Linked DNA regions of Coturnix japonica. The protein of the gene in region 1 purifies or fractionates together with the protein of each later gene. This does not show direct contact. Links are inferred from orthologs where the notes say so. Each region holds a gene or a part of one and is shown on either strand. Other genes may lie near its edges.

The links.
Region 2: the proteins of PTPN5 (region 1) and ATP5PO purify together in Homo sapiens (affinity purification with mass spectrometry; 3 studies listed by BioGRID and IntAct, with this or other methods). This does not show direct contact. The link is inferred for Coturnix japonica from reciprocal best matches to the Homo sapiens genes PTPN5 and ATP5PO.

The regions. Positions count from the first base shown.
Region 1 is NC_029520.1:16,628,684-16,632,995, reverse strand, and holds the start of PTPN5 (tyrosine-protein phosphatase non-receptor type 5), read right to left. Parts: upstream 2,947-4,312; 5' UTR 2,835-2,946; intron 2,423-2,834; exon of another isoform or gene 2,303-2,422; intron 2,135-2,302; exon of another isoform or gene 2,111-2,134; intron 2,060-2,110; exon of another isoform or gene 1,851-2,059; intron 1,634-1,850; exon of another isoform or gene 1,460-1,633; intron 1-1,459. UniProt on the Homo sapiens protein: May regulate the activity of several effector molecules involved in synaptic plasticity and neuronal cell survival, including MAPKs, Src family kinases and NMDA receptors.
Region 2 is NC_029516.1:94,971,611-94,976,050, forward strand, and holds ATP5PO (ATP synthase subunit O, mitochondrial), read right to left. Parts: upstream 3,039-4,440; 5' UTR 3,000-3,038; coding exon 2,913-2,999; intron 2,818-2,912; coding exon 2,767-2,817; intron 2,691-2,766; coding exon 2,580-2,690; intron 2,136-2,579; coding exon 2,006-2,135; intron 1,892-2,005; coding exon 1,779-1,891; intron 829-1,778; coding exon 742-828; intron 431-741; coding exon 317-430; 3' UTR 250-316; downstream 1-249. UniProt on the Homo sapiens protein: Subunit OSCP, of the mitochondrial membrane ATP synthase complex (F(1)F(0) ATP synthase or Complex V) that produces ATP from ADP in the presence of a proton gradient across the membrane which is generated by electron transport complexes of the respiratory chain.

The DNA.
Region 1 (4,312 bases):
CTTAACAGAGAATGTGACAAATTTACTCATTTTATTCTGCAAAGAGAAAATTCTTAATTTGTGCATTGGCTTCACTCCCTTTCTTAATTGAACATAACTGCCTTGCATATCTAAGCTCTTCTGTTAACAAGCCCTAAATAGAGCAGACACCACAAAACCAAATCCTTGCTTCCAACAGTCTGACTATTTGCGGGACTTAATGCTCCATATTTGACTGATGTTTTATACAGAGACAGAAGGAGTCACAGGAATTTTTCCCCACCCCTTCCTATGCTGCAAGTCAGTGTAATTGCCCCTGCTGCAGCAGCATCTGCCTTTCCAGATAGTGGAAAACATCCTGCTACATAATTGAATTTTGAGAAAACAAAACAAACCCCAACCACCCAAAAAAACCCAACAACCAAATCCACAGTTCCCCTTCTGGCTTTTTTTTTTCTTTTCTTTTTTTTATTCTCTTCTTCTTTTTTTTTTTTTTTCCTTCATATACAATCAAAACCAAAACAAATAAGCATTCTTCCCAAACACAAACAGCACAATGTGGGGGGGAAAAAAAGCCACAAAAAACCCTTCCATTTCAAAGAAGTTTAGGTACCTTCAAGCTGAATGCATTTATTTGCTCTCCTGCTTTATACATTCATATTATAAGATGCATCCTATAAACACTCAGATTCACATTTCTGTTGTGCCTTCTATATTTATCACGTGAAATTGATGGTCTTGCTATTTAGAGGCTCTTGTTCTAGTTTTACAAGCATGGCATCCAGTTGGCAACACTCTATGCCATAGTGAAAAACATTTTAAAGCTCAGCCCTGAATCCATAACTGTAACGCTGAATGAGAAGTTAAAAAAGAAAAGAAATCTACAAAGACTCACTGAGTCGTAGAATGGCCTGGGTTGAAAAGGACCACAATGATCATCTGGTTTCAAATCCCCCCCTCCGCTATGTGCAGGGTCACCAACCACCAGACCAGGCTGCCCAGAGCCACATCCAGCCTGGCCTTGAATGCCTCCAGGGATGGGGCATCCACAGCCTCCTTGGACAACCTGTTCCAGTGCATCACCTGCCTCTGCGTGAAAAACTTCCTCCTAATCTCTAACCTAAACCTCCCCTGTGTCTCAGTTTCAAGCCATTCCCCCGGGAATGCCCTATAGGATGTATGTAGCAAAAATCATCTTCAAGTGCTTGATAAAACACTGAAATCAACTCCCAAATCGCTTCTTCGGCACACTCACAACGCCTATGATGTCAGAACACGGGACAACACGGTCGCAGTTCTTTTCAATCTCTAATTAACACCAGCTCGCAACTCAACCCCCGCTGCAAGCGCTGACCAATCGAAGCCCTAAAGCATCTGTTAGTCGCAAACCAGCTCTCGGGGCGCACACGCAGCCGCCTCCCGATGCAGCAGCCGGCGCGCCGCACGCAGCTCCCCGGCGGCCCCGCGCTCCGTTACCTACCACGCCGGCCTCGCGCTCTGAGCACCGCCACCTATCCGGCGGCAGCCCCCTATCCGGCAGCACGGCTCGCTGGCGGATCGGCTCCAGGAGAGCGCCGCGAAGCTGTCGCTGACATCCGGCTGGAGCGAACTCGGGGCCGCTCTCTCTTCTAGAGCAGCCTCTCCGAACCGCCCGCTCCTTCCCGGGGGAGCCCAGATGAAGGCGCTCGGCGGGCCCCTCCCCCGCCCGCAGCCCCCCGCCCATCAGTGGGGCCGCCGCTCGCCCTCCGGCTGCGGCGAAGCTCCACACCTCCGCGTCCCATCCTTCCCCGTGGGGCCGGGCTGCCGCACCTCCGCCCGCGCAGCCGGACGAGATGGGAAGCGGCCGAAGGAGAAGCGCGGCGCGGTCTTACCTCCCCTCCCCGGCTCCGCCGCCCCTCCCGGCCTCGCACCTCAGGTGCGGAGGATGCACAAAGACGGAGCCTCTCGCTGCAGCGGGGCGGGGTCGCTGGTCCACCCCGCCTCGCGGAGCTCTCAGCGCACCGCACCGCACCCGCACCGCATCCGCGCCCGCCCGGAGCCTCTATGGGCGCCGAAGCCGTTACAACTTGCCTCGCGCCTCCTCTCCTCCCAGCGGCGCCCCCGGCAGCCACAGACACACAGACACACGTACACACGCGCGCGCCGCCGGCGGCGCAGACCCCTCCGCCAGACAGGGGCGGGGGGAGCAGGTGCCGATAGCGGGAGAGGGGCCGCCCCTCGTGTCCCCCCCCCCCCTCCTTCCGAGCCGGGCGGCTCCGCGGACGCCCCCGGGAAGAGCCGCGATGCCGGCGGGCAGAGGCAGCGCCGACAGAGCTTCCCCTACCCGGGGAAAGCTGCTCCCCTCCTTCTCCCTCGCTCTCCTTCTTTGCAGCGCGGCGGCTGACTGACAGCGCGCCGCTCGGCGGCCGCCCACGCGCATTCTTGTTTCCACTCGCTCGGAGAGAGAGGGAGATGGCGAAGGAGAAAACATGAATGAAAGCGGCAGCCGAGGGGAAGCCGGCGCTGCCGCAGTGAGGCCCCGCCGCCGGACCCGTCCCCCGCCGCCCACCGCGTGCTCTGAGCCCCCCGCGGACGTGGCCCGACTGCAGACGCGGAGCCCTCGGGCGCTCTGTGCCGCCCTGTGCGCGCCGCCGGAGGAAGGGCGACAGCATCCTCCGTGCGCCGCGGCTCCCTACGAGCCTTACGGCGGGGGCGGCCGCTCCTGCCAGCCGCTTTTGGGAGGGAAGCAGGCCGTGGGGAGCGGGCAGGTGGCCCCCAGTGCGGGCTAACCGAGGCTGAGGTTCCTCGTTGATGAACGCCCTTCGCTGACGGCGAGCAGTCTGGTCCGCGCTGACAGAAAACCCAGCACCTGGTACCTGAGTGAGGGATCCCGTCCTGATGTGATAGGAAGGAGGAAAGGATCTCGAAGATATATGTCCCCTTGGTTTTTCCAGTGATAACGTGACTCTATGAGACAGCTGCTTCACAGGGTTGGTCCTCAGATTGGCCATCCCTTACAAGGTTCTAACTCGTTAAGCACATACATCTGAACCCTTGGCTGGAGAGCAGAGATGTCTACATGCTTCGTATTGTTGGCACTGGTTCGTGGCAGGAGCTTTAAGAGTCCGGTTCGTCAGAGTGTTCAGCATGTAGATAGTGGGTGCGCACCACATCAGTGACACAGCTTTTGCCCCATGAGTCTGGAATTGGGTTCTGAGCCATCTCACATCAGTATGCACCCACAAGTTTAATACCTGCCAGAAAACTTATTTCAGACCAAATTGCCCTCTAGATTTAAAAGCCACTTAGGATTCCTATGATTAGTGTCTCAGTTACTTCATTTTTTAAATGTTGCATTCCTGAAAACTGAGTGTGTGACAAAACATGGTCAAGTCCTTTGATATAGAGTAACAAATGCAAGATAATTTAGATGGGTCAGTGCAACTCTGTATGCGTGTTTCTGTTTTATGAGGCTCTTCTCTTCGTGCTAATAGCCCAATATGACTCACCTACAGCACATATCACTGCCACAGCTGTTGTAAACCTTCTTCTGAGTCAGAGAATGACTTTATGACCCAGAATTCTGGCAGTGAGTACTATCCCAGTGATTTTCCCAATTAAGAGAGTCTTGCAAGTCAGTATCAGTGCAGGGTGAATCAGAGTTTGATGCAAGAGGCAAAACTGGACTCTGCTCTCTCCTTCAAAAATTCAGTGGCATCAACTCCTTCTAGAGTTTATAAAGACTCCTGTGGAACAGAGATTTAGCTCTCCTCAGTCCCAAATGCTCCAAGCTACTGTGCCAGCCATCTGCCACTGACTGCTGTGGAGTGCATAGCAAATCTACAGGATGGGCAAGCAGTGGTGAATAGTTGAGGGCTAGCGTGACCCTCAAATGGTTTTGAATACTAAAATTTGGATTCCTCAGGATCCGTCAACTTCTTGCTACGCAGAATCTTCATTTTCAAAAGGAAAGGGACCAACCTTCGTGGTCAGGTATAGTGTTGAGCCATAATGGCATGAAAGAGATTTTTATTTATTTTTTAACTTCATGTTGATAAATGTATCTCAATGTTACAGGTGTAAACTCAGTACAGGCTTTAGTTTTATAGCAAGATAAACTGTAGCAGGAAGGCAGATCAATAGGATGGGAAAGGCATTACAACAAAGGTGTGATGGGAGAAGGTCAAGTACAATGGAAAGGTGCAATAAAGGAAGGGAAGATGATTGCTCACACTTATCAGAAGATTCTAGGTTTGCAGGGGAAAGCTTCACTAAGGAGGGATCTCCAGGAAGAAATCCTTCCCTAGTGGCAGTCAGCCCTTAAATGAGGTCTAAGAATGGTGCAGACAGGCTC
Region 2 (4,440 bases), on another chromosome or scaffold:
CCTCCTTTTGGTTAATAATTATTACATCTGGCCAGCTGCCCTGAGGTCAATATCCTCAACATCCTATTAAAGAGAAGGAGGCGCACACAGCCTTGTCATTAGAACACCAATGTAACACAAGGTCCTGTGTTGAATGTTTTTATATGTAGTTTTAAGATACAAACATCTTAACCTCTCCCTAGCAAGCTTTTGGAGGCCTCATCATCTTTCTCCCACTGCTACATATTAGAATCAATACTCTACAACAGCTCTTGGAGAAGAACAGTTTTATTGTTTCCCTGTGACAGGTTTCACCGTGAGCAAACAGGACAGCTTGTTAGACAGTCTCTTTCATTATTTTGGTCAGCTTCTGGATCTTTGACCTTGTTGACATATCCACGTATTTCTCCCCAATGTTGACAATCATTCCACCAAGGACTGAGGGATCAGTCTAGAAGAAAGATTGAACAGAAACTCCATTAGCAAATACTTGTTACCCTTATACTTTTCTTTTTTAACAGCGTGAACAGCTTTAAAAGAGCCTTATTTAGATAATCTTGCAATCAGTGCATTTCAAAGTTAAGATTTCAGTAATTAAAGCGTACAAGAAAACATAGAAGTATATAATAGAGCAGCTGAATTCAACCAAATGAATGTATACAACAGTGTCCCAAAGTTCCTCTTTCATTTGTTTTTTGTAAAGATGAGAGAGCGCAAGAAGCACAGCTTGGCAAGGTGTATTTACAAATCAAAACCTCCTACCTTGGTCTCCAGCTTCAAGACCTCTCCTTTAGCCAAGAATCCATTCAGAACACTCTTTAGCTCAGTAAGGCTGGCATCATCCAAGGGCTGAAAACATTTGCACAGACACAGTGAAAACAAAGCACGTAAAAAAAATAAATGGTATAATGAGAACCCCCTTTACTTTCTCTTCAGACTCCATCAAAGACACTCCCAGGAAGGCAGAGGAAGCGCCTTCTTGGATAGCAATAAGCAAATGACAGCACAGAAACAGCAGCATCTTGTGCTCCTTCTATTTCATGAAGTACTGCGCTGTCATCTGCACACATATCACCAGCAACTGCTTGGTGTTAACATCTTGAGAAAGCAAGCATCAAGAGTCCTGACTCGATAAACTAAGCACTCAACAAAAGACACATCTATCTGGGTTTTAAGGGACCTTCAAGATCATGCAGTTCCAACCCCTGCCGTGGGCAGGGCTGCCCCCCACCAGCTCAGGCTGCCCAGGGCCCCATCCAACCTGGCCTTGAGCAACTCCAGGGATGGGGCACCACAGCTTCTATGGGCAGCTGTGCCAGCGCCTCACTAACCTCTGGGGAAAGGATTTCTCTCTGACATCCAATCTAAATCTCTTCTCTTTAGTTTAAAGCCATCCCCCTTTGTACTGTTACTATCTGCATTTGAGCTTACAGAGCTTTTTGATCTCACTTCAGACATCTGCCTCACTACAGAAAAGAGCTGATCTGTTAGTTCTAACCTGTTCAGTGTATTCTTAATGACAAAAAGAAGAGCGGAGGCAGTTTTATCTGCAGACCAGGCTGACTTTCATCAGCCCCTGGGTTCACACATAGAAAAAGATGCTACTCGTTAGGCTGAAACAAGAAGAATGTGTATAATCGCTAGCCAATAATTACTGCATATTGAAACACTATTAAAGCATTTTGTAGAGATGAGATTTTTCTTCATTGCTCATGAAGCAAGCTGATTATACTACAGCCAAAGAAGCTTGCCTTTTATGCCCATACCTATTAAACTCAGCCTCAAGGTTCCAAACCCACCTGTGCAGTGGTGACTGTGCACAGCACTTCTCCTCTGAACGCGCTCATGATCTTCCCAAAGGCAGAAACAATGCCTGGAGTGTAGCGCAAGCGGCCATTTTCAGCAAGCAGGTCTGGAAGATGCAGATGTATTAGAAGGGTTTAGCACACCCACTAGGAGCAGATTCACTTAGCAACAACTAATCACAAGCAGCATCAGATGTTTCACAAAGTAAATGTGTACTCACTCATCAGGTTGACGGTAATAGGGGACATCCTCTCCTTTGCTAAAACGTCTTTGACAGCTTTCTGTTTAACCGTGCCCTTGGTATGAGGGTTCATAACAATGCTGGACAGCTTAGGGTCCTTCAAGAGAGTCTAAGAGAACACACAAGCAACACTGTAAAGGCCACAAGTTTTTCAGGGCTACGCAGGCAACAGCTGCTCTTTGATCAAGGATACAGGGCAGGAGAGAGCAGATGAGAAATGAAATGGCAGCTCCAGGTAGAGCTCATAGAGAGGAAACATTCAGTAGATCGAAGCAGCCTAAGAACATACAGCTGTGGGCTACAAGAGCTGATTAACTGGACTGCATCCTCACAGTTTTATTAGTGACTTTTAAAAACATATCAAATGACTCCGTGTCCAGTATGGCAGAGCTTCAGGGAGCTCAGAAAGCCACAGAGGGGCACTAGGGAAGGAGTTCAGAGCACAGGCAGGCCCGGTACATGTCACACAATATGCAGGATCGCCCTAAAAGCACCAGACAGACGGCGGCCCCCAGCCCCTCCGTGACCTTTGAGGCTCGCCCAGCAGCCTTACCCACACCCGGCTCAGCTCCCTCTCCACCTGCTCCAGCTTCTTCTGCTTTGTGGCGGCGGAATACAGCGCGGTGGCATAGCGGCCCTCCAGCCCGTACACCTGGATGGGCGGCTACGGGACAGACGGTGTCTGAGAGCGGCCCTACACGGGAGGCCGACCCCAACCCCCCACCCCCGGCCCCGCTCACCTTCACCAGCTTGGAAGCCGGCCGTGCCGCCGACGTGCTCAGCTGCCGCACCTACGGGACACACAGCGGCTGTCCAACCCCCTCACGAAGGAGGTGAGGACCCACCGCACCGCGCCGTGCCCCCTCTCCCCCCGGCCCCGCTTCACCTTCAGAGCGATCCCCGCCGCCGCCATTTTCCCACCGCCGCTCGAGGTCACCGCTGCGCCTGGGCCCGGCGGCGAGGAAGTGCGCATGCGCGGCTGTAGGTACGTGTAGTACCGCGGGGCTTCTTCCGTGACGCGGGGGAGGCGCTGTGGGGCTGTCAGGCCTGAGGCCTTTTCCCGCCCTTTCTCTGCCCTCAGCTGCTTCACACACGTTCTCCACAGGGAGATTTTTCTGCTGACAATAGCAGGACACGGGGAAATGGATTTAAGTTAAAAGAGGGAAGATTTAGGTTGGATGTTAGGGGGAAGTTCTTCACTAGGAGAGTGGTTAGGCCCTGGAACAGGCTGCCCAGGGAGGTTGTGGATGCCCCGTCCTTGGAGGTGTTCAAGGCCAGGTTGGACGGGGCCCTGGGCAACCTGATCTAGTAAAGGTGTATGTTTGGTGGCCCTGCCAGNGGTGTATGTTTGGTGGCCCTGCCAGGCAGGGGGGTTGGAACTACATGATCCTTGAGGTCCCTTCCAACCCGGGTCATTCTGTGATTCTGTGATTTTGGCTGTTCCCGCCTCAAAGATATGTCTGTTCTTTAACAGGGTGAAACCACTCCTGCAATACAACCAGCCGTTTTCTCCCCCCTCCGATAAACGTGGCCAGGCGTCTGCTAGTGTGCCACAGTCCTATGCTCGGCCTTGGGCTGCTCTCTCCGCTCCTGTGTGCTGCTGAACCGCTGAACGCACGGCGTTGTGCTAAGGGCAACCGTGCTGCAAGCATGCAGAGCAGGCTCCAGGCGCTAGATGATGCTGTTGCTACAGGTTGAAAAAGGAGTGCTCGCTTAAGTTATGTCAAAACCAGGGAATTAGAGCGGCACTCTTCAGGAAATATGGTCTGAGTAAGATAGCCGGGCTAGCGTCCCATCAGAAGTAAGGTAATGCCACCAATATGCTTTAATTTTGGATGCTGGGATTGAGCTCTTTCAGCTGTATGCAGCTTATTTGCTGTGGGGAGGTTTAGTTTAGATGTAAGAGGGTGGTGAGGTGCTGGTGCAGGCTGCCCAGAGGAGCTGTGGTGCCCCATCTCTGGAGGCGCTCAAGGCCAGGTTGGATGGAATTACAGAATAATTAAGGATGGAAAAGACCTGTAAGATCACCCTGCCCAACCTTCAGCCCACCCCCACCATGCCCACTGCCCACGTCCCTCAGTGCCACATCAACACGGCTCTTGGACACCTCCAGGGATGGTGACTGCACCACCTCCTTGTGCCACTTCCTCAGTGCTCTTGCTGAGAAGAAATTGTTCCTAATATCCAACCTAAACCTCACCTATTAAAGCTTGAGTCCATCACCTCTTGCCCTGTTGCTGTTACCTTAGAGACTGATCCCTATCTCTCCAGAGCCTCCTTTCAGGTAGTTATAGAGAGCAATGAGGTCTCCCCTGAGACTTCTCCAGACTGAGCTACTCCAGTTCCTTCAGCTGCTCTCCATCAGACTTGTGCTCCAGACCCTTCACAGCTTCATTGCACTTCTCTGGACACAT